Linked DNA regions of Arabidopsis thaliana. The protein of the gene in region 1 interacts with the protein of each later gene in a pairwise test. Each region holds a gene or a part of one and is shown in the gene's direction. Other genes may lie near its edges. The genes, in order: AtPOT1b and TRB1.

The links.
Region 2: the proteins of AtPOT1b (region 1) and TRB1 interact in binary tests that used the Arabidopsis thaliana proteins (3 or more experiments, as listed by UniProt).

The regions. Positions count from the first base shown.
Region 1 is NC_003076.8:1,920,503-1,936,301, forward strand, and holds AtPOT1b (Nucleic acid-binding, OB-fold-like protein), read left to right. Parts: upstream 1-7,840; 5' UTR 7,841-7,965; coding exon 7,966-8,086; intron 8,087-8,179; coding exon 8,180-8,316; intron 8,317-8,410; coding exon 8,411-8,603; intron 8,604-8,759; coding exon 8,760-8,824; intron 8,825-8,958; coding exon 8,959-9,047; intron 9,048-9,188; coding exon 9,189-9,455; intron 9,456-9,547; coding exon 9,548-9,624; intron 9,625-9,704; coding exon 9,705-9,763; intron 9,764-9,861; coding exon 9,862-10,014; intron 10,015-10,089; coding exon 10,090-10,293; 3' UTR 10,294-10,449; downstream 10,450-15,799. Other genes in the region: 2-Cys Prx B (2-cysteine peroxiredoxin B), read left to right, coding at 123-248, 368-481, 593-709; LOG7 (Putative lysine decarboxylase family protein), read right to left, coding at 1,540-1,641, 1,733-1,876, 2,378-2,448, 2,555-2,654, 2,975-3,005, 3,490-3,587, 4,669-4,776; NHL3 (NDR1/HIN1-like 3), read right to left, coding at 10,514-11,209; AT5G06330 (Late embryogenesis abundant (LEA) hydroxyproline-rich glycoprotein family), read right to left, coding at 14,459-15,082. UniProt on the Arabidopsis thaliana protein: Negatively regulates telomerase activity and participates in chromosome end protection. Binds RNA non-specifically. Associates with a regulatory Pol III-dependent lncRNA, which represses telomerase activity in response to DNA damage.
Region 2 is NC_003070.9:18,485,136-18,500,934, reverse strand, and holds TRB1 (telomere repeat binding factor 1), read left to right. Parts: upstream 1-3,616; 5' UTR 3,617-3,806; exon of another isoform or gene 3,807-4,013; intron 4,014-4,184; 5' UTR 4,185-4,221; coding exon 4,222-4,371; intron 4,372-4,475; coding exon 4,476-4,684; intron 4,685-5,066; coding exon 5,067-5,151; intron 5,152-5,753; coding exon 5,754-5,837; intron 5,838-6,013; coding exon 6,014-6,373; intron 6,374-6,481; coding exon 6,482-6,496; 3' UTR 6,497-6,864; downstream 6,865-15,799. Other genes in the region: AT1G49960 (Xanthine/uracil permease family protein), read right to left, coding at 1-38, 139-197, 290-376, 472-568, 652-836, 914-973, 1,069-1,144, 1,256-1,356 and 3 more; AT1G49940 (uncharacterized protein), read left to right, coding at 10,115-10,218, 10,317-10,449, 10,654-10,687, 10,958-11,035, 11,163-11,254, 11,335-11,436, 11,874-11,952, 12,204-12,274; AT1G49930 (alanine-tRNA ligase), read right to left, coding at 15,296-15,354, 15,482-15,546, 15,643-15,799. UniProt on the Arabidopsis thaliana protein: Binds preferentially double-stranded telomeric repeats.

The DNA.
Region 1 (15,799 bases):
CAGCATTTTGAAAAATGGTTTCAAGTATTTGATGTACTCAGAACCTTGGCAAGTGGCAGTCTGATAATCGAATGGAACGTTTTCTTTTGGATAATGGAACGTTTGATTCCATGTTCATGTAGTTCTCGCATCTTGCGTGGGTCCAAACAGACAGAAAGTCGGGAGGGCTCGGTGATCTGAATTATCCTCTTGTTTCGGATATCACTAAATCCATTTCAAAATCGTTTGGAGTGCTCATCCCTGATCAGGTAAACGATTTCTTCTGACATAGTTGCATCATACTTGCATTGAGTCCAATCCACTTGTGTTCTTTCAAGTAACGTATAGCCACTTTGAATCAAAGCATTTTGCTAATATATAAGTACAGGGCATTGCACTGAGAGGGCTTTTCATCATAGACAAGGAAGGAGTCATTCAGCATTCCACCATCAACAACCTCGGTATTGGCCGAAGTGTTGATGAGACAATGAGAACCCTCCAGGTAATAAAGAGAAAAATCACATCATTGAGATAGATAGATAAAGAGAGATTTGTTTTTGAGGTTTAGGGTTTAGATGCGTTATTTGTTGCTTCTTGTGATGTTGTCTTGCAGGCATTACAGTATGTTCAAGAAAACCCGGATGAAGTGTGCCCTGCGGGATGGAAGCCAGGGGAGAAATCAATGAAACCTGACCCCAAGCTCAGCAAAGAATACTTTTCAGCTATCTAGAGGCTAAGATTGAACACATGTTTGGTGAAAATTAGCAATCAGAGTTGTTTTATTCGTCTTTTCAAAGTTGGAGCAGAGTTGTTATTTTTAGCCAAAGAACCTTTGTATCTATCTCATCTTTCTCCTGTTTCTGCTATGTGATTCTCCTTAAATTGAATCAAAAATAAAGAAATCCTTCTTTTCTTTTGCCAATATTTATGTCTTTCACTTGTGTAAATAGTTTATAATAATGCAAAGAGGCAGAGTATTTTGACCATTGCAAAAAATAAATTAGAAAAATATCATGTGAGGTCACAGCTCCCTGGAATTAGATAACTATCTGATTGATTTGTTTAATAAACTTGAGTGCTCATTAAGCTAATCTCCATCTGTAGCCGACAACAAAATTATGTTGTGGTATTACTCGGAATATTCTCCACTCGGATTAATTAAAAAATATCGTACATGATAATTTTCTGGTTAAATAAAAATCTGATACCTTTGACACGAGAAAAAAGTTAAAAACTAGAAGTTATGGATAAAATCAGAAAATAACCAAAAGAAAAGGATCGTTTTGTCATTTCTTGAAAATAGCCCTATCCTTTTTTTCCATTAAACCAAAATGTACAAAGACAAGTGGGGAGTGATAGGGTTTGGTATATACGCGGTTAGCAGTTACCCACATGGTTTATCCACTTCACACATTTAAACCACCCCTACAAAATAATGTTTATCAAAACGACCCCAATACTTTCTTTTGTCTTCTTTCCGCCCTTACCTTCTGATGTTAAACAACTTAATTTCCGCTGTACACTGCTTTTACCAAAAAATAAACTCCCCATAATACATCCTTACGTAGCGGTAGCTACCTCCGAACCCGGTACATAACTTATCCGGTCCACTTCATCCCAAACCAATTTTGATGTTATCTCATCAAACTCCGGTTCATATTCCTATAACATCATTTTTAGAGTACGTACCATCAACAAATGAACCATGTATCGAATGTCTTATATTGGCACGAATATGAGGCTCGAAATATACCTCGAGTTGTCGAACCAACTCTTTAGCGTTTGGAGCTGAGACGATGATTCGACGAGCCATTGGGGATATAAATCCTTCGTCCACAGCCTTATCAATAAACGTTAACAGCGAGTTGTAGTAACCATCCACGTTAAGAAGACCCACCTGTCAAAAATTATTGACCAAAAATAATGTTAGAAACCAAATATCTTTAAATAGTATAAAAGAAAGATTACGACATGGGAAGCTTCCGGTCTCACAATCAGGGGTTATGTAGTCGTACGTCGTGACAACACATCGTTTTTTATATTCAATGCATATATCATAATATTACATGCTCTTAGAATATGTACATTTTAATTTAAAATGAGAATAGTACCAAAAAAGTTTAAGAGGTATAAAGAATCCCAAAAGGAATCTTGTTCCATGTGATTATTCCGACGTAACATATGCAACCATTTGTATCTTCTTCATTCAGTCAAATTAAACCACACATTATATGAATATAAATTCTTTTTAAGGTTTTAAATATGAGAAAAATATATCCAACACGCATATTCCGGTCGTAACTCATAACAATAATGTAAGCTCATATATCATACTTTAAAATGAATTATATAATCCGTAAAAGTTAAACGAAATTTTTTAATTTCCCTGATTACGTACCGGCTTACGGTGGATACCGAGTTGAGCCCATGTAATGACTTCCAGCAATTCTTCTAACGTACCATACCCACCTAACAATTTACCAATAGATTCATTCGACATATTTAGATCTTATCCATTTTTCTAAAGGAAATGAGTTTTATACTTTTATTACATATAAAGAATTGGATTACAAACCAGGAAGGGCAATGAATGCGTCGGCTTGGCGAGCCATTTCAGCTTTCCTTTGATGCATATCGGCCACGGCTTTAACTTCTCCGATGGTCTCACCAGTTATCTACAAATTATTATTAACATAACTTTTAGGTATCTTTATTTATTATTGCCTCTAAAATGTGAACACCGCAAAACATCTTACATATTATATTGCATGGTCTTTTTATTGTGGGTTTAACATATAAAAATATTAGTTGGTCAAGGAGATGTATCGTGAAGGAAACCAAAAAACGCTCCAAGTCTCAATCATTCCTTTTTTGGTCCTACCACTATTTTATGTAGATCATTACAAGGCAATTTCTATCTCAATAATACTATATATATAATACCAAGTCCAACAAAATTGATATTTCATTCAATAGAGCTTTATTTGGTGCATACCTCTCTTGGCATCAAGGTTTTTGGAATGACCCTACAAGAGATAAGTGAATATACCGGTTAAGAATGATGTATATAAAACAAAACTGGTATGGATTTCAATCTACAATTAACTAGAAAGAAATATGAAAATTGGCTATTTTGGTATAGATAGGTCATTGAAACGAGATTCTCTGATAGAACAAACAAACACAGATAATAAAACTAGTTGTAGCTTGAGTTTAGTAAAATAATTTAAAAAGCAAAGAGACAGTTTTGGACAAAGGAAACATGCACAGATCCTTTTTTGTCGTTGTTATGTTACCTCTCTAATGAAACTCAAGTATCTCTTCATATAACCAAAGAAGATTAATCAACTTATCAAATTCTATGCGACAAAAACAATAGGTTAATAGCCATCATGTAGATAGTCATAATCAACGGTCAAATGTTTGAAACACAATGATGATTTATAGCTTACTTCCCTAGCAAATACATCATCATATAAATAGATACATAGAAAGAGAGAGAGAACAAACCCTAGAACATGGCGACCACCATGATGAACAGCTTGAGAGACGAGACCCATAAGCCCCACGCTACCACCTCCGTATACCAAATCAATCCTTCTCTCCACCTTCAACCACATTTCCACCATCAATTTCTTTCATTATTATTATTATTATATTGCATTATTTATGATAACAGAGTTTTCATGATGAAAATGAACACGTGTCACAAACCCAAATCCACAATCGACCCCAAAAAGAAGCAACCACATCAAATATCAAATCTCAATTAAGAGAAAAGGAAAAACAAAAAAATAGCTCATCATCATCATCATCAATCCTAATTTCAATTGTCACCATCCTATTAATACTATTATTATTACCTACAGATCAATCAGAAGAGGGTTCTTCAAATTATTTTATTTATTCAAACAATTTAGTGTCGTTTGAAGAGAAGTACACCCCACAACACACGCTTTGTACATAGAGTCATTATTCTTCCAACGAACATTTTTGTTGGTTTTCATTGCCCCTCGAGGCAATACAAAAACTGTCATTATTATTTATCTTTCCCGTAAACAAAATCATTGGTTTATACTTGGAAACTTAAGTTTTAGGTTTAAGAAAAATCATATGAAACCTCAGACTCATGGAAAAAACAAGATATATGTGTGTAATAATGTAAATCACTGAAAATACAAAAAATTATCTAAAAAAAAGAGGTCATGCAAGAGTGCTGCTCGAGTGACAGGCGGGTTACAGCTAAGCATAGTAGAAATCACTATTTTCTCATCCCTCTCTCTCATGCCAATAACATTAAACCATAACACAAATTCGATTTCACAAAGTAAAAAATTGAAAATCAGCATCCACACGTTTGGTAGATTCATCATTGTTCGTTGCAACACACAATCAAAACCACATAATAGCCAATGTTTCAAAGAAGATTCTGAATTCGTATCTCAAATCAAATCTTCATTTTTGAGTTCATATTATATACCATCATAAAGTTTTGAATCAATCAGCCTTTTGTATCAAACAAACTATCCAAAACGAGAAATCTAAAAAAGCGAAGTATTTACAAATGACACAACAAGATGATTAATAAGTTACTTTTGTGTTGAGTAGTGAAAATGAATGTAATATATAAACTATTAAATATACATATATATGTTAGTGAGTAGAGAAAAAGTTGAAGAGAGAACTTACCAACTCGTTACCCAATTGAATGGCAGCTTCTTGGTATGAAGGTTTTTTGCCGGAACTGCTTCCACAGAAGACACAGATCCTCTTGAATCTCGATTTTGTCTCTTCCATATTTCTCTCTCTTTCTCTTTGTTACTTTGTCTCTCTCTCTCTCTCTCTCTATCTAGAGCTTAAAAAGTTGAAAATTCTATGATTATTATGATGAATGAGACCACACTTTGGAATTGTGTTAGTATTTATATATATATATAGAGGAGAAGTGGGAGAATATAAATGCAAATGCGATTCCCATGCCCTGCCCCCTTTTATTAATTATTACTACTATTCTATCTATATTTTATTTTATTTTGTGTTCTCATCTTGCGAAGAATTAAGTTACTAACTTTTTTTGTATTATTTAATTTGTAGTTTGAATATTCCATGGATACTCTCTAAAACTAGCTAAAACACGGCTTACATATATTTATATCTTATTTATACAGCAAACTTTCTATATAACATTTTTATTATAATATGGTGTTATTACAAATTAAGATTGTATTATAATAGATTTGTTTGAAAAGTCATTTTATGTCTGTATACGGCCGCGATTTATAATATGATCTTCTAATACTTATTTATTTTTGTGTGGAAAGATTAGATTAGATCTAACACAGGTTGGAAGATCTGTTCAGATTGTGTTATCTGATTAGTTCACGACTAACTGGATTCATGGATCATGTTTTTCTTTGAACAATTCAATTTTTCTCAAACTATTAGCTAGTGTCTATCTTACTAAAACTATATGTATCAGATTTTGGTTCAATACAACCAGATTCATGGATCATGTTTTCATTTGAACATTTCACTTTTCCAATAATGTCCATCCGAAGTATTAAATTAGATAACCTTCTTTTTTTTTTGACAAAAAATTAGATGACCTAAAACTTACTATTTTTGCGATCCAGAGCGTAAAACTTGTACCGTAATAATAATTAAGAAAAACTTCTTGTGTGTAGCAGAGTAACATAATTCTACGACAGAAAGTATTCACTTTTCCAGTGATCATCAAACTCTTAGAAAAGAAGTCAATGTAATTTGCTCATTTAATATATTAATCTACGGTACACGTTGTAGATTTGACAACCACACGAAGAAGAAAGAGGTGGTTAGTTTTCTAATCGAGGTTTAGACATTTATATTTATAAGTTATAGCTAGTTGTCTCAGTGATCTGATTTGGTTTCGATTTGGTTCCTTTTTAACAATTTTGGTCTAGATAGATAATGGATAGTCAAATAATAAGTTAAAACAAACTTTGGGATTTTTCGATTCTTTTCATTTGCGGTTTTGAAACTTGGAGTCAAGAAGAAAGTTTAGATTTGCACTGGAACCATATACTATTAATTTGATTACGAAGAAAATGTCAGGAAAAGTTGGAATGATTGAGAAGCGTGATCACTAACAAAAGTCGCAAGACATTCCGGAACTCCAAGCTTCAATGACCCATAATCGAAAAATCTCGACTACAGATTATATTAGACTAATACTGTATGTTTTCTTTCTTTTTTTGGCTAATCAGAGTACTCGGAATAGAAACCATATTATCAATTTTATTTCTATAATTGATTTAGAGTCTGGTGAGGTGTCTCGTAATCACTCTAATCTAGTTCTTCACGTCTTTATCAAATTTCCACCCTCTAAAGCAATAGTCCCTTGATCACATTTCACACCTACATTGTAAATAATAATATATTTATGGTTTGTCACACTTATATTTTTTGTCACCAAATATTTATGTGTATGTATGTATATAAACCGACAATGCATAACGGATATGAAAAATTAGTATTAGATCACCATTATTTACGAAAAACCCATCTACAATTACGTATTTACGTAGTGCAAGGATAGATTTTTTTCATTAGTAAAAGGATATATATTTTAGTTTCCACATATATTTATTAATTGTTGAATAGATAAACAGCTGTTAGCTGATGTAATCATACAACTAATTTGGATGATCCTTACATCGCATCCTTTGACTAAACCCTTTTTTACGTCGCATCAAATTAATTTGGATGATGCTTCTTTTACTTGAAGACCAAAGCAACGCAAACCATTAGAGTACAATTATAGGTTAACAATACAGATTGAATCCTATACCTTTCTACCTTAGTTTTTCAAGTAGGCTAGTCCACGGATGATTTTGTTTTAACCAAGTAAGACATAAGTCATAACTCAAAATCATAAATTCATAATTAGACAGTGATAATGTATGTATCCTCGTAAAGATTTCTTATGAAAGACTTGGAATCCAAGGCTTGGATGCTGCCATTTTTTTTTTTTTGCCAACATCAAGTATCTAAACTTATGGTTTGCATAACTGTCGAACTTATGTTGGATTTTAGGTTACGAATAATGTCAATATTTATATGTTACTAATTATTAAACAAGATCGAAAGACCTTAAAATAAGTATATCGAAGTCGCTTTCGTTAAGATATCACGATGATCAGAGAGATTGTATGAGCTGGTGATACATATAAAATTAGAAAGAAAACGCATACCATCTATCTTTGATCACTTAGATTTAATTATTGGTTAATAAAACGAAAGATACTTCGTTGTTTTTATAATTTCATTAACAAGTTTAAGATACTTCATTGCTTCTAATTATCTTCCATCTTCTTGCTAATTTTCTTTCGAACCATATTATTATATAAAAGTTAGTTTTAAAGTTGCTAACTAAAATGATCAATGTCATATTTCTTGATACAGATTTTGACATATGCAAAAACATCGCAAGAAAATGATACAATATTGATTAAAGATTTTGTCACGACTCATATGTAAACATATTATATAAAAAAATCATTCAATAGATTAGTAATTCTAAAAAGGATTGTTTTAGACAAAAAAATATATATTTCTATACCCAAAGAAACTATACAATTAGTTAGTAATTTCGAAAAAAGATTATTATAATGTTTAAGAAATTTTACTTTGCATAGCCAGAATTTCAGCTGAGGGCCTAGTAAAGTAATCACTCTTATTGAGCTTTTAAGACCCATTTAAGTTACGAAAACCTCCAAACATCCAATTGTATGAAACTCATATCATAGATTTTTTTTTTCTTCTTAATGAGCAACTTGGTAGCGGCGGCCCATTAATCATTATTATTGGGCCTTTAAGACCCATTTGAGTTACGAGAGCTCCTAAACGACTCAGCAAGATTCACCGGAGTGGCACCGGCCGAGTCATCGCATCCATCGCCGTTGTCGATTTCCTTCAAACCCTTGCAAAACCCCAACGATCAGAGACATGGAGGAGGAGAGAAGAGATGACTACAAATTCCTGAGAATTCAAGACGCTTTCAAAGCATTGCATCTTCATGTTAACCTCATTGGAGTCATCGTTGAGCTAGGATTCTCCAATGGCTCTGGTATCGTGATCCTCTCCCAAAATCCTTTTTTGCTATTTCATTTCATCATAGCTTCGTTTTTTCATACTTCCGACTGCTCGAAATTTGTCGCAGATTGTTCATGTACGCTCAAAATCGTTGATCCATGGTATTCGGGATCTGGCCTTCCCGTTAAGTTCGTCGCTCGTACCATTCGAGACCTTCCTCGTGTTGAATCGATCGGAGATATCATCTTACTTTCACGTGTAAAGGTTGACACACTATTCCTCTGATATGAGAAGATCAATTCTTCGTGGCTTTTGCTGATTTTGTTGTTAAACAGTTTTCTTCTGGGTTTAAACTCAGATTGTGCTGATTAACCGGAAAATCACAGCTCTCTGCAATGAAACAACCTCTTCGTCTTTTGCTTTATTCAATGGGAAACATAGCGTGGATTCTATACCTTACCAGTCCTCACCTAAATTCCTGATGAGAGAACAGGATAAGAACTTCTTATCGAATCTGAGAGAATGGATGATCACGTACAAGTTTGAAGATGGTAATTATGATGCAATATCATTTCTAATGAATTCTACTTATTCACTGAAATCTCTATATGCAAATGTTTGCTTCGTACTTTATCTCTAATGTGTTCTATGTCTTGGTGGTAAGTTGCGATTGTTGTGAGGTTTTGTTTTGTTTTGTTTTATGATAGGGTCATGCTGTTTCACATCCCTGAAAGATATCAAAGAAGGCGAATGTTCAAACCTATCTTGCCAGGTAGATTGATCATTCCTTAAAAGAATATGTTTTGGTTTTACTTTTCATGTTCATTTGTATTTATGGAACTGTAAGTGTCTTTTATGGTCTGCTATGTCTTTGACATTGTTTCTCATTGTTTGTTTCCTTTGAAGATTGTTCACATTTCCAAGGTCTATAAAGATAGATGGTACCTCTTTGTTTGGGATGGAACTGAGATGCCACCCTGCAACATCTTGGTTAAGTAAGTCTGAATTTCCTCAACCAAAATACAACGAGTAAAAATAAGTTTCTCTTATGCGTCTTATATTCATTTACTAGATTTTGGTCATATATCCCAAACGTGTTACTCATCTCACTCTGTTTTTGTTTGCAATCATAATAGGTCAGAAAGGCTTCCTTTATGTGTAGAACCCGAGATGTTGCCTACATACATGTTACGTAAGTTTCCTACTTTTGGTTCCGTTTTGAGGATCATAGTAGATAGAGTTAGTGAGAAGCAGGCCATTCACTGTCTTCAACCTGGTCAACACGTGAAGCTTCTGAACCTTTTCTTTCAAGTAAATATGGGATTATGGAACGCCACTTTTACTCCCTCTACAAAGATGCAGTACACAATGAGCAGAGAGATGGAAGCCTTTAGTCCTCAAAGGTTTCTGCTGACACCTTTTCTTATCCTGTGAGTTGATGTTCTGCTTCGTCCGTTTGTTCTTCAGTTTAAAACACACTTTCTTACCATTTCAGAATGTGTGGGGAGAAGTTTTCACCGAGATGGAACCCAATCGCGCGTTGCATTAGTCGTTCACATTCTGAAATCACAGGTAATAACCAGCTAATTGTTTGGAATTGTGGAAATTTGACATAACGTTTAATATAATACTTATGGTTTAATCTTTTCTAGGGGTTGCCCATGACGATGCTCCATTTGTTTCTCTGATGGACATCCTGACCTATCACAATGTAATGTATCCAAAAACCTTGGATTTATCATAAGTTGTAGGAAAAGAGTATAGTGAAAACTTTCTTGAATTGATGTTTTACTGATGCTTATTATGCAGGTGACTGCTAAATTCAGGTGTGTTGTTCGGTTCATACAAGTGTATCCCCGAGACGTCAGAAAACTCCGTGATATCAACGGAAATATCAAATTGGTAGCTATACTAGAAGATGCAACCGCCAGAATCCATGCTTCTCTATATGCTGATGAAGGGGTAAGTAAAACACGATTAATTATTAGTGTTCATTGAAGGATTGTCTAATACTTATATCTGTATATCTTTTTACAGGAAAAGTTTTTCGGGTGTGACGAATCTGATGAAGAGGCTCTAGTCAAGAAGCTGAATAGATTGTTGGGAGGTGAAGAGATGGAGAAAGTGCCAAGAAATCCTCCATGGGTACAATGTTGCTTGTTCTCATTCTACAAACACAAAATGGATCAGTGGGAAAGCAGAAGATTCCGCATTTTTGATACTTGGATCAATGCTTCATGAGACAATCATAATGCTAATTGTATAGTTATTAGCATTAAACAAAATGTGATTATTTATTTACATGGAACCATACAATAAAACATTACATAAGAAAAATATCTCTCTCCAACGATATGTATGGAAGATAATAAAGCAAAACAATCTAAAATAAGAATCAATAAACAAGTGTAATATGATGAACTCGAAGAAGACTATAATAGCATTGACTCTTGACTAGCAATCAAAAGTCAACGTCACACTTGGTCGGCTGAAAAACAAACCCGCTGGTTGAATTAGAGGTAAGAGGAACCTTGAGATCGCACTTGATCTTGGGCTTGAACCTCCACGACTTGATCAACCCAAACTTAAACCTAATCTTAAGTCTCAGCTTGGCATCGATCCTATAGATCTGAGAATTCACATCCTCGTTCAAATCCTTCCTCTCTCCGCCGTCAAGCAGCACCAATTGCTGTCCCACGAGTTTAGTTCCAACCACCGTCGTGTTCTTATGTCCCTGGTAAAACTTCGAGATGTTGTTACTCATACCGAATCGCTGATCACCGTAGTATCCTCTGACTTCGATTTCATCATAGTAAACACCGATCCGGCGGTTAGGGTTACGGATTGTGAAATTGAGATCGAGATTGTATCGGAGGTTGTTGGTTGGGTCGAGTGTGAATTCGGTGAGTTTAGCGTCGGTGACGTGGAATTTGATAGCGTTGGGTCTGAAAATGAGCCAGATGATTAGAGCAGCTATGCCTAATAAGACGGCTATGGTTATGAGGATGTTGAAGATGACGCTTAAGATACAGCAGCCGCAGCAGCCAAGACAGTCACCTAAACAACCGCATCCACCGCCGCGTCTGCCGTGGCTGTGAGAGACTTTCTTCGGCGGTGGAATCGATGGTCCGTAATACGCACCGTTTAAGTCCGCCATCTGTTCGTTAAAATGCCTCAGAGAACGATTTTGAAAGAAAGTTTTTTTTGGTTTGTGATAAGATTTTGAAAAAGTAAATATGATTTGAAGTGAAGAAGAAGAGGCCGTAATATATATACACTGTAGAGATAACGTGTATTAGATAAAACGATTTAATTTGACGCGGTTTTGTTTTTTCAAAGTCAAAGGTGACGCGTCGGTTTAATATTGTTCGATGAAAATTTGATTTAAGTAGAGGTTACTTGCGAGATTGTTATTAGATATTTAGGATTAACAGTTTGATATACATTAAAGATTGTTTCTTAAATTTTACTATATGGTTTCTTCTTCAATTTGACTATGTATACTTTGGTTAAGCTTAATGAGATTATTTCTTGAATCCATATATACATGATTTGGTGATTAATGAGGTTAGTGCCGATCGCATACAAGAATATCCATATGTAGATATTTATTTATATATTCTTTTATTATATAAGACATGTGAGAATGTGATGATACTTAGTGCGGTAGTTAGTTTGTGAATTGTGAATAGTCATTTTTACAATGTAACTAAGCTTCCGAGAAACTTCCCCAAAAGCGACTGCTCTAATATAGCCATTGTTTCTTAAACTTGACGAAAGACTTTTGAGAACAAAAATAGAAAATGTGGCCAAAATATCAATAAGCCTATACAAAGTTAGAAAAAGACAAACCAGTCCCGGTCAAGAATTTCGACATTATATATATAACATGATGAAATGAAATAACTTTGATCTATAGGTTGCAAGTTGAAACTGAGGTGGGGTTTTCCAAATGTTTATTTTATAACTATGAGAACAGTTCTACTGATAAAGGTTATTTAATTAATTATCAATTAATGAAAATGTTTAATGTGAAAGATTTCTCAAATTCAAAGAAAATTAAACATTGCAAAGACTTGTTAATGTTATAATGCTAAAAGCAAGGAAAACTAAGGGAGGTTGGTGTTTAGAGTTGGATGATGTGACCTGTAATTGAAAGGAAGATTAGGTGAAGCCATGCTTTCAAATGTTTACATCTTTCTTCAATGAGAAAGGTCAAGCATATTTAATAAAGAATAATAATACTAGATCGCAACTCAATCATATTAAACTTTAAAACAACTATGGAGGATTTATAAAAACAAATGTAACAACTAAAAAAAGTATTCTTATAATATGAGATGTAATGTGTTTTATTTATTTATTAAAGTAGTCAATGTAGTTTAAGAAATTTTTATGTGTTATACGGTATAACAATAATTTTCATTGTATATGATAAGTAATACACAATAATTTTAAAGAAAAACCTGGTGATGAACAAACGTGTTTGAAAAACTTGTTAGAGTTTAATGCGGTGTCAATGTGTGTGGTGATAAAACATTAAACTAAATTAGACAACAAATATTTCACGAAGACTCCTTCAATCTTAGCCGTTTGGACGAAATAGATCATTGGAATTGGACAAATAAATGATGAAGACTTTGGTTGTTCTTAGGGTTTTGAAAATGGAGGAACCGACGACCGATCCCTATCTACTCAATTCCGATATTCATCCGAATAAATTATTGAGAAATTGCGTTGAATAGATGTCCACTAAAGTTTAAATGGACATATATCTAAGGAAGTAACATATAGGGTATACTTTTCATGTAATCTATTACTAATTCTAATTTGGTGGTTGTCACCATAATTTTGTGTTGTTAATCATTGTTAAAATCTGGAATACAATACGACTCGAAAGTCGAAACTGTATCGTGTTAACCAGTGGACCAATGATACAACTCCATGATTCATTTTACTTACGTTATCCTTTGGTTATGAATGTTTATTCTATGTTTTGGTTATGAATTTCTCTAGATGAACAAAATCGAATCTTTATGTATATATTCAAGTCTTGATCATTTACACGCTTAATAAAATGTATGACTTCAAAAAGGCAAAAAGGGAAGGTTATGTAGACAATTGTGTGTTTTTATCATCTGCTTTTTTACAGTATAACTTCGGTTCCAAACTAGGATTGTATATTCATGGATTGATGGGCGTAAAGTTTCTCATCATGCTGATCAATTACCTAGATTACGTATGGCAAATTTTCAGTACAATGTTTCGAAGATTTTCAATTAAAATTATGTTTATATACAAACTGGATTCGGCAGCGTGTATATGTACAAAGGAAACAAAACACGTGGGAGTTAGTAGATAAATGGGACTAAGATTAAAAAATTGCATAAAAAATCGTTCACAAACACATCAAATATTTGTTGGTGACGAATCTAACGAACAAATTGCGTACGTTATGCTCAAATTGGACCTCGCTCTTATGTACATTTTGAATGTTCTCACATTGGACTTCTTTCTGAAATACATATACATATCGAATATAATAACAATAGCACATGTAATGAATCATTTCGCAAGTTTTCTCTCTTGGAGAAAGTGGATTCCAGATTGAGAATTACGCCTACAAATCTCTTAACAAAAGAGGCAAAATTAGTCGAAGCAGTTGGTTATAAGATGACTTCATTATTAACCCAAAAAATACATAATATAGAATATTCGTGGGATTCGAACGTTGGAGAAAAATACCCTATTTCTTGTAAAATAAGCAACATGATTCTACTTTTTATCATTTCAAGATCCAAGAATATTTAGGAGACAAACTAACCAATATATTAGGAATATAGATTTGATCAAGAGTTTTTCCTTTGAATGTACTGAACTGTTGTAAAGAGCCAACTTTAAGATCTAAACTTTAATGGGAAATTGAAAAACTATATGAGAATGGGTCTTGATTCTGTTTTAGAAAAAGAAAAAAAGACAAGATACTATAGATAATGACACCGTACAAATGGTTACCGTTCCGATCAGATATTTCTAAAATTCAATTGTCGTCACTCTGGATCAGCACAAAATCATAGTCAATGAAACAAGAGAATATACATTATTATCATTATATAGAAAACAGTTTTTAATTGAATCATCCATCATAAATTGTTACCAACTGAAATAAAAATAAACCTTTTTTTTTGTCTTTTACTATATTTTAGTGTTTCCTTTGAATCTTTTACAGCTCGTCATAACAATAACGCAACCGATTGCAATTCTTGATATTATTTCTCTATGACGTAGGAAAAAAAAAGTTATAAAACTTAACTACTACGAGATTATATATAAAATATATTACGTTATTAATAATGAAAAAATCCGTGACCGATACCACCGTCACCGTTAAGTACCTCTTAATTTGTCAAACACTAACACTACAAGTTTCGGTGAGCATGTACTTTCCGACGATAACTCCGGCAGCACTACTCCCGAAGTTGATAAGCGCATGACATCTAACGTGGAGATGATATTTTCCGGTGATGAAGGATCCGACTTTCCAACGAACTCGACCGTCGAGATGAAGCATCAACATGATCGCGCCACTTGAATGGTCCTGATCGAGATAGAAAGCGTTGTACGGAGCCACAGGAACGGAGTATCCACCGACGAAAGGAGACCAAACGTTGACTTCTTTGTGTCCTTGATAAGTGGTAAGCATGGGACTCGGCAAAGTGATCTGTTGGCTCCGGTAAGAAGCGTAGACGTCAAGACGGTCGTAGTAGATACCGATCTTGTCGTTAGGGTTACGAGAGGAGAGAGTGAATTGGAAATTTGAGGTGAGGAGGTTCGGTGGATTGCCGGAGACGTTGAAGTTGAAGACGGTGGCGTCTTGGAGGACGAAGCGTGGTTTCGATGGTTGAAGGATTGCCCAAACTAGGAGAATTACGACAAGGATTAAGAGGAGGATTATTGATATCGTCCAGATCACTATTTTACGGTTGCATGATGAGTGGCTGTCGTGAGAGCCACAGTCTTTTGAGGTCATAGCTCCGGTGACGGTGGTGTGGGAGGTTTGGTGGTAGAGAGAAAGTGAGAATCTTAAAATACTCTCCGTGACCTTTATATAGAAGAAGTGTATATAAAGATAAAAGTACTTGTAGAAAAGATATAAAAAGATAAAGATATCTTTTCTATATAGTCTTTGTAGAAAAGTTATTTTAATAACGATAAAGTATAGAAAGTATGGTACTGTAAGTATAATGTTTTGGTAATGAATTATTACGAATACTTATGGGTGTGATTGGTAAAGATATTAGAGTAATATGGAGTAATTAATGTTGGAGTAACTATTTTTTTTTTTGGTAACTAATATCATAAGATCAAAAATGATATAATTTGTGATAATGGTTGTATTTGATTTGTTTCTGTATTAAGTATTAACTCGTTGTGATATTATATATATTGATTTGCCGTTAAATTTTATGTTGCATTATCATGAAAAAGTGACTTTTTAAGTATTGCGAAGATCAGAACATTTATAAATTTAAGCATTTTTTAGTAATGTATGAGTTCATTTTATTTCCTTAAGTTACTTTTGGAATATATTATTTGCAAGTGTCAATCATTTAAATTCTACGTTTTCTTGTTATAATTAATTGGGCTTTTATTTGGGACAATAGCTCAATGGCCTTTTGGGTTACGAGTTAAGGGAGAAATGGGCCCAATACAAGCATTCACGTTGACTTCTCTTTTTTTTATCGTA
Region 2 (15,799 bases), on another chromosome or scaffold:
TCCCAACCTTCGTTAATCCTAGAAGCCCTGTATTTTCTCTACAAATGACAAGAACAAACAAAAACAGAGTTTAAAATCCGAAAACGAGTTTTCTTGATTAAAGAAAACTGCAGAGCAGAAAGAGAATGGTTCTATTACACCAAAGCTGTGGAACCAGTTGCTGTTCCAAACAGTCCATTCAGCAAAACGCCTATGCCCTGTTTTTATTCAATTCCCACATAGCACACACATCGGATTCACATACTAACACACTTGAAATCGAATCACAATAACAATCAATCCGTTTTACCTGCCATCCAATGCCACGGCTAAGCACCGAGGGAGGGATATGAGTTGCACTGCCAAATCTTGAAGCCGCGATGAAGGAACCTGTCGTCTAATCCATTGGAAAAAATTCAACAAGAAAAGGTGATCTATCAAAAAGCTAAATCCTTCTGCAAACCAAAAATGTGAACTGAAACAGTAGTAAACCTCGACAATCGCCACGTAAGTAGCTGCCATCATTGCGAATGCATCACTTCCATGGAAACTTGGACGTCCCCATTGCAATGGATATGGAATTCTCACCCTAAGAATGAAGGAATTGTCAAAAATGCTCTGTGTTCTTACTGAAACAGAGGAGATCCAATGAAAGATGGAAGATGACCAGACCATGGAGAAGCACTAATGAGACCAGACCGGTCTGTTCGACAACTGAGCTGTGTATTGTCCGGTCTTTTGTCATAAGCTCCAGCTGCTGTCAGAATCTCTGCGTAAGCCCAGACGATCGCTATTGTGAACAGAACAGCGAATTGCTCGCATATTGATCTCTTACACTTAAACAAGTGAGGAAGATACTGAAAACATTACAACCATTGTCAGAAATTCAGAGATGATAAGGTTTTATATAAAATCTCACGAAATTAACCGAAACCTGAGATAAAATTATCAGTATGATCAATGCTGGGAGTCCAATTTCTATACATCTCGCAAGCTGCAACACAAAGACTATTTAAGCTCCCTCAACAAACAAACAAAAACCCTAAAACCAATTCGATCTTTATGGCAGTTAAATCTTGAATCGTCTACCTGAGGAAACGCAAAGGCGAGGAGGCCAACGCCGGTGAGAATCACAAGAGGAGCAGCCGAAAGAGGAGAAAGAAACCTGAAGTAGTTTTAATAAAGCAAAAGCAAAACCTTAAAGTCTTAGTTACTTCTTCCACAAGTAATAATATATAATACAACACATGAGCTTTTTATCTTTTTTTCTCCGGACCTGACCAAGATTCTCCACAAACCGAAGAAACCCATTATCATATGACTTATTGAAGCAATGATAAGAGCTCCTTGAATAGCTCTCATAGTCTCTTCAAATCTCTGCATTTAACACATTCATTAATTTACTGTTTTCGACTAATTTGAAACTTTAAATGTTTTCAAAGAAGAAGACAATGGATTGTGTGACTAACGAGATGAGGATGGAGATAGTAAGTGAATCGATAAGAGAAAGTGATGTAAAGAGCAGGGATGAGGTAAGCATAAGAAGCTCCCATGACCACAGGAAGTCGACTTCCGAACAAACTCTGCAACAACGTGTTTATTCCTGACACGAACAATACTGTGTTTATGACTTCCGCTTTCTCCACCTGAAGAAAAATGACGTCGTTTCACATCAATTTATTTAATTTAGAAAGAGTTTTCTTCTCGTGAATTTGAGCTATTAGATGAGATTAGGGTTAATGCTTACGTCGCCACCACCCATTAGAGGGACGAGTATGGAAGGTATGATTACAGTAGTTCCAAGCATTACAATGTAATGTTGAAACCCAAGAACTATTCCTTCCGCTGCACCATTAATCATATAAAACCATATCATTTTCTCAAACATATATTGTTGACAAATCAAAGAGAATTTGGTGACGATCGACTAAATAACTCATATGAATAATGGAAACGCTTCAACTGAAATTTTTGTTAAATAATCACAAACGCTTTAAAAACGAGTTTTGTAGATTAATAAGAAATACAACCCTAATTTAAACTAAATCGTATAGTTCATCACTATCGGTGAAACATAAATTCATTATCCTAAAGACTAAACATAATTTTACTGCTAATAGAACACAACTATATAACAAAATCTAAATGAAAAGAAAAAAGCATACGCCAATTTGGAGAGCTCGAGACACAAAATTCGACTCCGGGAAGCTGATCTTTAACTGGAAATGGTGCAAAATCATCGGTCTTTGTTGCCATATCTCACTCGCTTCGAGAAGGGCTACTCTCTTTGTGATGAGAGCTGTAAATTCAAACTAAGGCTTTGCTTAAAACGGATTCAAAAGTGCTAAGTAATCGTTAGGCGGGCAACTTTGTTGACTCTTTCTTGCTTTTTTTACTTTCTGTCTTGTGTTCTCGTGCACGTAATTAACACTAATGCTATACGTAGAAAAATGAACCGGATTAAACCACTGGTGTGACTTAACCAGAATTGTCCACTTGTATATTCATGTGAAGAATATGATGTTTAATATTACAAAGTCTTTATAAGTAGCAAATTATTCTCATCTTAATGCCAAAAAAGTATACAACTAACTCCATCCACCACTTAAACATTCTCTTTAACCAATATCAAGAATTATAACTAATGACTAATTGGTATGACTTATTGTTGGCTTAATGAAAATAAGATAAAACAATAGGATTATCAGTTAAAAAATCCAGAAAGATTTAAGGAGGTTTATTTTGAAATAAATTTGATGAATTATTGTTGCTGACTTGAATTATTATCAAGTACATATTTCATATCATAAATAATTTTGGGCTCATGAGCTAAAAATGTTAATTTGGTAATTTAATAATTTATTTTGGATGGAACTAATTGCTAATGTTTTATTTTGACTGTAATTTGAAATTATTTGGACAATTATTAATTTAAACCCAAATATGAAATTAGTTTGTATTATAAAATCATAAATATCTAGGTGAAATTAGAGAAGGTTCTTTCTTTTTACTGAACATCTGCAGAAAATAAACCTAGTAAAACAAATCAACTAAAACTATGTTCAACGAACTTTTCTTTTTTTTACGAAATGATCTTTATATTTCAAATTTTGGAGAAATTCAAAAATAAATAAATTATAAAACTTTTTAATGTGTTTAAAACAAGTGTATAGATTTGGAAAACTCTCAAAATATCGCAACTACCATGTCCACAATTTTTTTTTAATTAGTGGTACAGTCAACTAGATAATTTTCAGAAAAAATAAACAATAGAGAAAATTCTATGGATAAAATGAAAATAGCATTTTTGAAAAAAAATATCACAACTACCACCCCACCACACATTTCTGAATTATATCTAGCAACATATTTGTATTTTATGTTCAAAATACCACTTAATCATCAAATTTTTAATCACCACCAAAACTTTCAAACATAAACCAAATTGTTCGTGTAAATATGATCTGGGTCACTGCGTATTAGTTTTGATAATATATTTTCTTGACAATCATATTAACACTTCATTTGGGGAATTTGATATTTTCTTTATCATTATTAAAAGTTGAATTTGTAAATATTTAGACAATTTATAATCTTCAGAATATAATAACTAGCGTAAACAAAAACGCGTTTTAAGGCCGTTTGTAAAAAACGCGTTTTAAGGCCGTTTGTGAAAAAACGCGTTTAAAGCTTAATTGGTCTAAGCGGTTTGCCGCATCAGAATTGACGGAGGTCCGTTACTCTGAATCCTTGTATTCGCATTAACCCTAACTTTTTCTGCTTCCCAAGCGTCTCGAAATCTGAATCCAGAGATTAAACAAAAATTGGTATTGCGAATGATCGATTCTTCTTCCTCTAAACTCTGATTCCTGGTGAATTCATCTGTTTCTTCTTTCTCGATTGTGTATATTCTCAGCATGAGATTAGGCTTCATTCTGAAAGAACGGATTTTTCTAGGGTTTGAGTTTCGGCATCTTTCAGTGATGTGAAGTTGGTGTTTGCTATTGCGTCTTAGTTTCTGAACTATTGCTGCGGTATAGTTTGATAATCTATGTTAGGGTTTCCTCGGAACAGGGAATTAGGGTTTTACTATTCTGTGGTATTTGATGATGAATTGTGAGCTACAACTGAAGAAAAAGTTTACATTTTTATGTAGAAACTTTAGTTCTGATTGGTTTCGTGACATTTGATATGTATTGTTGCAGAACGGACTTGCTTTGACACAGCAGACCGTAAATCGGGATGGGTGCTCCTAAGCAGAAATGGACTCAAGAAGAAGAGTCAGCTTTAAAGTCTGGAGTTATAAAGCATGGACCTGGTAAATGGCGCACAATTCTCAAAGATCCTGAATTTAGCGGAGTCTTGTACCTGCGTTCCAATGTTGATCTTAAGGTCATGATTACTTCTTATCCTTTTTGTCAGCTTTGATAATGCTACTGTATTTTGTTTGTGATTTTATCTGACTGGGAGATGGTTTGTTTATTGTATTGGGACAGGACAAATGGAGAAACATGAGTGTCATGGCAAATGGCTGGGGATCGCGCGAAAAGTCTAGGTTAGCTGTTAAAAGGACGTTCTCCCTTCCTAAACAGGAAGAGAACTCACTAGCCCTAACCAATTCTTTGCAAAGTGATGAAGAAAATGTGGATGCGACCTCTGGACTCCAAGTTTCTTCTAATCCTCCTCCAAGGAGACCTAATGTAAGGTTAGAAATGTGTCTATTTTGTTTCTTGTATTGAAGAGGAGTTGCTTTGTTGTATCTCTCTCGCTGGTATTTCTGAAGTTGGATTACATCTCAAAATGTATGGTTTGCCGTCACTTTTTATTCTGTGCAAGTCGATAAGTGTTGGATTACATTCATGTGATATGGGTTTGTTTTCACACCTCTGTTTAAGTTGTCTTCACTGGCTTAGTACATTTCTCCTCCTTCTTACTATTATCATGCGAGCCGTTTGCTCAATCCTATCACTGTGGCTTTATAATTGTGAAATTATGATGAGGATTTGTAAAGTCCCACTTACACGTAGATGTTTGTATCACTCAAATCTTTTATTATAGACAAATTGTAACTTTTAAAAACGTTGCAGGTTGGATAGCCTTATAATGGAAGCAATAGCTACCCTGAAAGAACCTGGTGGCTGTAACAAAACAACAATTGGTGCCTACATTGAGGTATTCTGTTTTCGTTCTTGCATCTTTTTTTTCTTTTCTCATAGACAATATGTATTATTAAATTGTTACTCTCAGCTAAATCGCATCGTGTTACATTTCAATTTGAATGATCCTCAGTGGGTTGATATGTTGTCAACTAGAACCTGTGAAGCATTGCGGATGAAAACCAAAATATAGCCTTTGGTTGTGTCAATAGAATATATTCCTCAATATCAATATAGGCAACGGATGTGGCAGTTTTATTGCAAGGCAATGGGTGACATCTTTATCTTCTCCTCTCCTGAATAGACGAATGTGCATTGAATATCCTGACTGAAACTAAGCTGAAAGGGCTAGAAATATTTCTGTAATTACGAGATTTATTGTGGTGGCATCTACTTAAGTCGATATAATTATGAGAATATCGTAAGAGTAGATTCTGTAGTTAATTCAGAAACACGCCAATGACATAAATATTTTCGTCTACTTATGTGATTCAAGCATGGGAAATATTGAGTTCAACTTGTACGATTACTGCTTTGAAGATTCTTTGTCTAAGTTCCTTGTAAAAGACTGATTTAGAGGACTGACTGTACCCGTGTTCCTTTTTTTTTTTTGTGTAGGATCAATATCATGCTCCACCAGACTTCAAACGCTTGTTGTCTACCAAGCTAAAGTACTTGACATCTTGCGGGAAACTTGTGAAGGTAAGAATTCCTACATTCATTTAATGCTTTTGAGTGCATATATTTTTGGTCTTTTGAATAGTATGTATGACTTTTTGTGCAAATCAATTTAGTTCATGGATGTCAGTAGAACAGAGACATATCCATTATTCACTGCAACTTGCGAGGTTTATTGATCTGGGCTTTCTCTTTTACAGGTTAAACGTAAGTACAGAATTCCAAACTCCACTCCCTTGTCTTCCCACAGGAGAAAAGGTCTGGGGGTGTTTGGAGGAAAACAGAGGACTTCTTCTTTGCCTTCACCTAAAACAGACATAGATGAAGTGAATTTTCAGACAAGGTCACAGATTGATACAGAGATAGCCAGAATGAAGAGTATGAACGTACATGAGGCGGCAGCAGTTGCAGCACAGGCAGTAGCAGAGGCAGAAGCTGCCATGGCAGAGGCTGAGGAAGCTGCAAAGGAAGCGGAGGCAGCAGAAGCCGAAGCAGAAGCAGCTCAAGCTTTCGCTGAGGAAGCTTCAAAGACATTGAAAGGAAGAAACATCTGCAAAATGGTAAAAAAAAGAAAAAAACACCCATATTCTTTTATATCACAAGACATTATATCTATGAGAGAACTTTGAAAATCTCAAAATGCTTTTGTTGAAAATGTGATTCGACAGATGATCCGTGCCTGAGGTAATGGAAAGCGAGAGAAGAAGGAGACTAAATGTGAAGAGAGAGTAGAGAGAAGCCTAGTGTTTGTGTTGATCATTCTCTTTACTTGGGAAGTTGTTTTTTAGTAGTAAGCAATCAAATATGTTTGTCAGTATGTCGTCGCTCTGACTCTTTTGATTCCTGCACAACTTTTGGGAAAAAATGTTTTATTTGGCTCTTCTCACTCTCCAATATACATACAACTATCGTTAGTAATGTGTATAATTTATAGACCGATCTATCTATGCACTATCATGCTTATCGCCAATGAGCATTTTGATTATGTATGTATTATCAATTAATAGTAGTACTGTTTTTTTAAGATATAAAAGCACAATGACTTTGGGACACTATATGGATCGTTTTCGGGTTCAGAAAAGGAATTAAATCCTTTTAAATCCCCTGTAAATCTTTTAAAAACTCTTGTAAATCTATTTTCTATTAAAATTATTTTTTCTGGGGAAAATGATCTTTTGGAAGAAAAAAAAGTTTGGCGGGAAAATTTTTGTCGGATTTTTTTGGTCGAAAAATTATCTTCGGAATAATTTTGATAGGAAAAATCATTATTATATTTTTTAAACCTAAAATATTTTCAAATAAGAGTAAAATGACCATAAAAAATCAAAAGATGGGATAAATGAAAATAAATTACAAAAAATGATAGAATTGAAAAGGAGTAGTTTGAAAGGGCATTCCTAACAATTTCTCCCGATTATATATGTAGTTGGGATTATTAGGTGATTGACAGATATATATATAATCATCCGAAATTTGACATACTAAAATAATTTGTAATCATTGATATTAAAAATAAAAAGACCATGGTATTTTTACTATAATTGTGATTCTGTAAAGAAAATAATACTATGCCACTCACAGTCACTGCATAGCCAACATAGGATTAGAACCAAACCGAGTCAATCCAAAATTGTTCACGGAGCACGGTAATTACATCATGGTTAAGCTTTAACCAAAAACATTTCAGGCTGTTACTAAACCAAAATTTTAAAATCTTGGGTTAAATTTTGGGCTGTTAACGTTAAACATTTCACACATTACAATCGGTGACGTGTCAAAAAATAAAATTCAAAATTCTATTCTCGAAATGGGCGGCATTTTTGTTTTTCCAAAATTGAATTTTGTTAAATAGTCTGTTAGAAGACAATCATCTACAAGTTCCTCTCTGATCTCTCTAATATTTTAAAACCCCTAAATTCTCCATTTCAAAAAATGTCTGTAAATTTTGAGAAGCGGTGCTTTTCCGGCGACCCTGCTTATGCCACCAGCGACTAGAATCTAGAAATTGCGTTCTCTCACGTTATTCGATTTAATGGTCAGAGATTCTCGAATTCTGGATTTTAGTCGAGTGAATTCCGATGATTACGAGTCTGTTTTTGATTTGTGTTTCTCTGCTACTTGATTCGATTTGCTGTTACTATGTCTCTTGTTACTTAATTTGTCTTATCGTTACGTTAATCTTCTTGATTTTATTAGAAATCAAATGATTTTGTCATTTCATTGCTTTCAATACCTTCTAACTCCTGATTTGTTTGATTTGGGTTTGACAGATCACTAGCGTCTAGCGATCGCGAAACTGGGGGATCAAGAGGATTATGATTTGTGACGAGAACAGGACTCTTTAAAGGAAGCGACAGTGGATGAGACCGTGGTGGTGGTGGGTGGCCGCCGTGAGGTGGATTACGGAGGCGGTGACGGAGGTTTGTGGTTTTCAATCGAATTTATTATGATTTAATTCCACCGTCTCAAATTTCTTGTGTTCGTTTTTCTCTGCGAACCCAATAAGTTTGATTTTGAATTTTCGCGATCTCATCCGATCATTTTTGATCTAATTTGTTGTGTCTTTGGTTGATAGAAGCTTTTAGAAATCATTTTGGTTGTGGAAAATCATATTGTTTTCTTATGTCATTGCCATTCGAAATTTTAAAGGTTTGTTGTTTTGATTCATATGCATAGTTATACTGAAACTTGCTAATAGTTTTCCAAATGGTGATAAAACTTTAGAAGACACTTGTACATTATTTGTGTTCTCTTCATAAGATTCGTCTAGGTCGTAATTCAGATAAGTGAAAGCATCTTTAGTGTTGACATACTCATTTATTTTGATCTCTGATATCTTGTGCTTTCTTTTCTCAAATTTTGGTGTAGGGAGCAATTGGCGACTCTATCTCCTTTGCAAAGAGTTTGATGTTGTGTCACTTTTCTTCTGCAACAACAAATTGGAGAGCCACAGAATTCTTATGGGTTGTTCGCAATCATTCAACCAAATGCATACACATACATACATGCATTCATTCATACACACATACATGCATTCATTCATACACACATACATGCATACATGCAGTCATTTATACATACATACATACATACATACATACATACATACATACATACATACATACATACATACATACATACATACATACATACATGCCTGCATACTTACATACATAAATGCATACATAATTTACATTGCAAACATACATACATACATCTACGCTTATGTATAATATGTATACTTTCGTACTTTTACACATCTATAATTTCTTCTCTGCTTCTTTGAGTCGTTGTTTACTTACTTGATTCCTTAATTCTTTGCCTGATTCTTCGCTTACTTTTTTTTTTTTTTGTCAATCCAAGTTTGCTTTACTCATTTTACTTCTTCATTACTTGTTCTGTTACCAACTTCAGAGGTATGTTGCTTACTTCCTTCAGTCCTTGTGAGCTTGCTTCCTTCCTTAATTCTTGGTCTGATTCTTTGCTTTCTTCATTCCTTGTTTAATTACCAGGTTCAGTGGTTTGTCGTTTACTTCCTTTGATTCCTTGTTTACTTAGTTTTTTTTTCCTTGCTTCCTCATTAGCTTCTTGCTTCACTGTGTACTTGATTTCTTGCTTACATGGTTAACTTGATTCCTTGCTTACGTGCTTAATTTCTTACATACTTTCTTTTCCTTAACTACTTGATTTGCTTAATTTGTTTTCCTCATTTTCTATCCTTAACTTGCTTTCTTATTTGCTCATGAACTGTCTCTGTTTATTAAATATTTGCTTTGCTTTAGATCGTTCTAGGACTATTCAAAGTCCTTCAGAGCAACCAATCAGCTAAGTTATAACTGTCTTAACTTGTCAGACCAAATAAACTAAGCTAGATAAAGTTTATTTGATTATTTCTTATCATTCAATTTATAGAACCTTTAAGCAGTGCTAGAAGTTTCTGGAAAAACTTCATCTTAGAGTTAAACAATACATTCCGCCAACAATGAACTGTCACTTGTAAGTTGTCTAACTCTTAAGACTCAATGAACTTCTTTTTTGTTTTTTTTCTGAAAACTACAACAATCTTTTTTGATAACAGGCAAATTTTATGTTTGTTGAAGGTATGGCTGAGACAAGCTCAAGAATCATTAGAAAATGTACTCATCGATCTCTATAAGGTAAATAAACTCTAACCGATACCATTCTCTTGTTTCTCTCAGTTATTGTTATTAGATTGTAGAATTGACAAAATTGGATTGAAATTTTGAGCAAAAAGGTGGAAGAACTAAAGAGCAAGTTGAGCTCTTAAAGCTAAACTTTGGATGATATATCAAGAAGAAGCATTCAATGGAAAACCAGCAAAGATTGCGAGATCTCATGGCCGAAATTTCAGGTCACGGTCGAGAAGGAAACCTCTAGGATATTGGTAAGACTAATCTCACTAGTCTTTAGTTTTGATTTGATTTATGAATTCTCTTGATCAATTAACTGATGGATTTGAATGTGATGTTACAACAGCTGAAGCCGTGTATCGGAAACTCAAGTGATAGAGCCAGATGCAAACAAGGCTTGTAAAAAGTTGCCAAACATAAAGTGCATTGTCGAAGTCTTACTGAAGTGGCTAGAAGGAATGAAGAAAAAACTTTTCAAAGCAAAGGTTTGCTTCTAATACCTGTTTTGTAAACGCAGTATGCTCAAGATGCATCTTTGGTGCCTCAAATTTAAACTTCATATTTTCGCGAGTTTATCTTCTCTTAACATGCAAATGTTGAGCTCCTCCTAGTACATTAACTTTATTGCGTTTATGCAAACATACATACTAGTTGTGTATATATATATTAATATTTTTTCCTTTTTTCAGAGTCAGGTTGGAATTATATTTGAGGCCAAGAAAGGTAAGGCATATTTTGTTAGCTTTGCTTACAATGTTCAAAGTTGTCTAGATTTTGGTATATTTGTTAGCTTACATCTCTCTTGATTTATCTCAGACCAAGAAAGGTAAGGAGAAAATAAAAATGCAACTGGCTCTAACATAAGTAGATCGGAACATTCAAAAGAAACTTCATTAAAGTACTTTTCCAACTCAATTGACAAATTCTCTCATAGAAGTTCTGAGTGCTCAAGTACTGATGTTCTTTGTTTATGTTTCCAGGACTAGTAGGTAGAAGATATTTTGGATAAGGACGAGGACGAGGGCAATGATGGATACTATATGGATGTGGAGTTGCATGGCCATAGCAAGGGTTCCTCTTTTTCAAAATCTAATGCATCGTTTTAAGGTTGGTTGTTATATATAAATTTTGGCATAATCTTGGCTTGCTATGCGTTTGGATCTATCTATTTGATCAATGTTTTGGTACCATATTACAGATTCAAGTATATTCAGAACCAGAGTCTTCTTAAAGTGGATGAGTGAGACGATGGACCACTTTGACACAAAACAAGATCAGCTCTTTGAACAAGTGAGGTTTGCAAATGAGTTAGATGATGAACCTCTTTCAACAAGATTTCGATGTGGAAGGAATTTTAATCATTCGTGAAGGATATATCTGATGTAAATTTTGATGCCAGACACAACAAATACTGTGAGATCTCATGGCAAGAAATTTCAGGTCACGGTCGAGAAGAAACCACTAGGATCTTGGTAAGAGTAATCTCACTAGTCTTTAGTTTTGATCAGATTTCTGAAGTCTCATGATCAATGAACTAATGGATTTGAATAAATGTGGTGTTACGGCGGAACGTCGGATGGGCTTATATGCAACTAAGGGTCTATAGAGCAGCTAAAGACGAAGTCTTACTGAAATTGCTACAAGGAAATGGAATAACCTTTTCAAAGCAAAGGTTTGCTTCTAATAACTGTTTTATAAACGCAATATGCCCAATCTTTGGTGCGTTGAAATATAAATGTTGAATTTCTGCAACTTTACCTTCTCTCAAACATACAAATGTTGAATTCCTGCTAGTACATTAACTTTCTTGCGTTTCCCCAAACATACATACTAGTTGTAAACATATATATATATATATATATATATATATATATATATATATATATTGAGATTCTTGTCCTTCTTTCAGAGTCAGGTTGGAGATGCTTATAACCAAATTTGGGTTGTGAAGCCTGAGGAAAAGATGAAACTCCTGAAAAATACGAAAGGTTTGCTTACAATGTTCAAAGTTGGCTAGATTTCAGTATTTGTGTTAACTCACATCTTCTCTCGGTTCATCTCAGATCAAGGAACGTAAGGAGAAAATATATGTAGCTGGTTCTAACATAAGGAGATCGCAACATTCAAATGATATTTCATTAAAAGTACCTTTCCAACTCAGTTGACAAATGCTCTCATAGAAGTATTTGAGTGCTTAAGCCCTGATGTTCTTTATTTATGATTTTCATTATTGATATAGGTGGAAAGTATTTTGGATGGGGGCGAGGACAACGATGGGAAATATATGAATGCAGTGTCGCATGGCCATAACAAGCCTTCCTCAATTTTTAAATCTAAGAAATCTAAGGCATCGCTTTGAGGTTGATTGTTATATAGTATACACATTTTGGCATTATCTTCGTTTGGATCTATCTATTCATATTTTTGGTACATATGACAGATCCAAGTATATCAAAACCAGAGTCTTCTTGAAGTGAATGAGTCGATGATTAAGCGCTGACTTAATGTTATAATACAAAACAACGTACGTTAGCACTTTGAAAAACTGAGGTTTGCAATTGAGTTAGATGATGTGGAAGGACTTCTAATCATCCGTGAAGGAAATATCTAATGTAGATTTGGATGCCAGGAACAACAAAGCTAGTAGTTTCTCTGTAAACTAATAAAGGAAGAACATTACTGGAAATACAAGGATCGAAATCTATTATAATTCTTCATTAATTAGCTTTTAGGGCTTATATATATACCAAGATTTAAACAAGGTATTCTGGTTTGTATCTAAATATTTTACTTGGTGGTTTCAGTTATTCAGGGTTTGAGATATTGGCGTAATCTTGCAACCAGCTTCTGAGCCAAGAGGGTCATGAATTTTCTGGCAGAAGGTTAAACGACTGAATACTGCATTTTCTGATCATTCAATTTCTAGAACCTATGAGCAGTGCCAGAAAGTTTCTGGAAGAACTTCATCTTGGTGTAAAATAAGACGATCCGCCAACCACGAACTCCCACTTGTAAGTTGTCATTTTAATGTAATTTACAGTTACTATACCAAATCATATAATATATAATTTTCTTAACTTATCGTGAATGAATATACATTCAGATCAATGGAACTATGTTTGTAGAAGGGTTATTATCCTGTACACTCTGTATCAAACATTTTATACAAGCTAGAAGCATTGCCAGAAGATTCTAGAAGAACTCATCTTCGAGTATTATAAGACAATCAACCATCCACGAATTTCCACCTGTAAGTTTTCATTTTCTTGATCCCATGATTTTTCATTATGCATAGGACAACTTTTTAATCGTACGAACGACTTGGTAGGTCATCTTGTATATATTTGCACTGATGGTACATTATTTCACGTGTATATTGTTTTAGATTTTGCACTTAAAGCACTGCAATTCGTAGCTAAGAGATGAAACATAAGAGATGTAGTTCTAGAGAAAAGCCAAAAATTGGATCAAGAAACAGACTTGTGGAAAAATATCAAATCTTTTGAATGGTAATTCGATAAGAACTTATTGGGGTCTTTGTTTCTCTTGTGTTCTTAAATCAGAAACACATTATGTCGCTTATCTCTCAGACATCGTTTTGCTTATTTCAGGTATACTGCAACTTCGGACATAATTAACGTATATCGTTTCTTAGGTTGACTCCTTTCCCTAGTATGTTACTCCAATCTTTTCTGCAATAATCTTTCGGTTTAGCTATTATAGTTTCCAGTAACTTTATTTTTTTGATATTACCTATATATACAAGTATTTCGTTTCTTCTCTTATAACTTGAAGTTATCATCTCTTTCATTTTTATGCAGGAGCCGATCTCATAGCCAACAAACTTTGTGAATTAAAAGAAGTTATGTGGTGAGTAAAACAGGTATAGACCAATTACATTGACAATGTTGTCTTTCCCTTGACAGCGTGATATCCCAACCATTGCATGTATGCGCCCACTCATGTACACATGCATATATTCATTTTTGCATACATAGATACATACATATACACATACATACATACATTCATACAGGGGCGGACCCAGCAAAAAAAGTTGGTGGGGGCAAAATGTTATAGGGATGAATCGAACATGGGTTTCTAGCGAAAATTTGAAGGATATGAAACCATTTGGCCATGCCACTTAATTTGTTTAGTACTAATTTTTTGTTAATTTAGATATTAGTGGTGGCAGGTGCCTCCACCTTCCTTAACGTGGATCCGCCAATGCATTCATACATTCATACATTCATACATACATTCATAGATACATTCAAACATTCAATCATACATTCATTCATACATACATTCATAGATACATTCAAACATTCAATCATACATTCATTTATACATACATTCATACATACATACATACATACATACATACATACATACATACATACATACATACATACATACATACATACATACATACATACATACATACATACATACATTCATTCATGTATATTTGCTTCTTAGTTCATTGCTTGTTTCTTTATTTACATCGTTAACTTATTTTACTTGCTCTCTTCTTTGTTTCGTTTGCTTTCATTTGCTTAACTCGGTTGCTTGTTTAAATTTTACATACGTCCTGCTTTGTTTCTTTGATCTTTGCCTACTCAATCGCTTCATTCATTTCTTAACTTGTTTACGTCTTTCTTTTCTCAACGTTTTAATTTATTTACTAACCATGGTTATTATTTAAATCATGTTATAGTTTATAACTATTTAAAAACCATCAGCTTTAATTTTAAAAAGTAAATACTACTTTTTATTGTGGATGTATTACGAATGTATAAACTCTTGTATTCAATTTGAAATCAATAAATGAATGAGATGTTATATAAAAAAAAAAAACTACTCTAATAGCTACTTAAAATCTAGTGTAAATTGATAAAATTTGGAAATGACACTAGAAATGGAAGAATTTTATCTCTTTACATTTAATGGAATAAATTGTCATCAATTTAAGTATTTATTACTTTAACTTTAGTAAATGTGATGATAGCATTATCATATGTTATATTCTACCGCTTTTTGTAAGGACCAATATATAACTACACATATTTTTATGATGAAACGATAGTCGCTTTTGTATTCACAAGTTATTGGAAAAAGACATAAAAAAGATTTTTTTTTTGTTAAAGAGAGTACATTGTTGAAAGCATTATATATTTTGTTTTGCCCTTTTTAATCCGATTTGTACCCAAAATAATATATTAAACCGAGTTTTATGCAATCTGAAATTATTGAAAAATAACGTTTTAAACAATTACTTCAAATTGAATCGGAACCGAAACTTCAACCACATATCATTAGTCCTTACAATCATATCACCGCATCAGTAACTCCGGTGACACAACCCAACACAGTCAAAGCGCGGTCGTCTCAACTGCCAACAACTTCACCTCACCCTCATCAAAAGCTCTCTACGCGCATAGCAAGCATGACATTCACCTTCATAACTTGCTATATATAATGCTATGTTAAATATACACAAATTTATAAATTCACGTTTTGTAATACGTCCAAAACCGTTGGGACGACGTTCAATGAGTAAAGCAAATCGAAACATAGTCCTTCATTCATTAAAAGAAATGTCATTGATCATTTAATGTTCAAAAACTAGATACATCAAATATCTTTAATGTCCATCATCTATACATGCAATACACTTGTCTAGAATCAAGCTATGTGCTCTTCCTTCTCTCTGTACATGCAGTTCACTTTTGAAGTTGTGCTTCACCCTAGCTTTTCGGATAGAGTTGCCACGAGATCTTCCTGAGCTTTCTCTAAGGCACTTGAGAGATTTTCGGGCTTTCTTTCCACCAC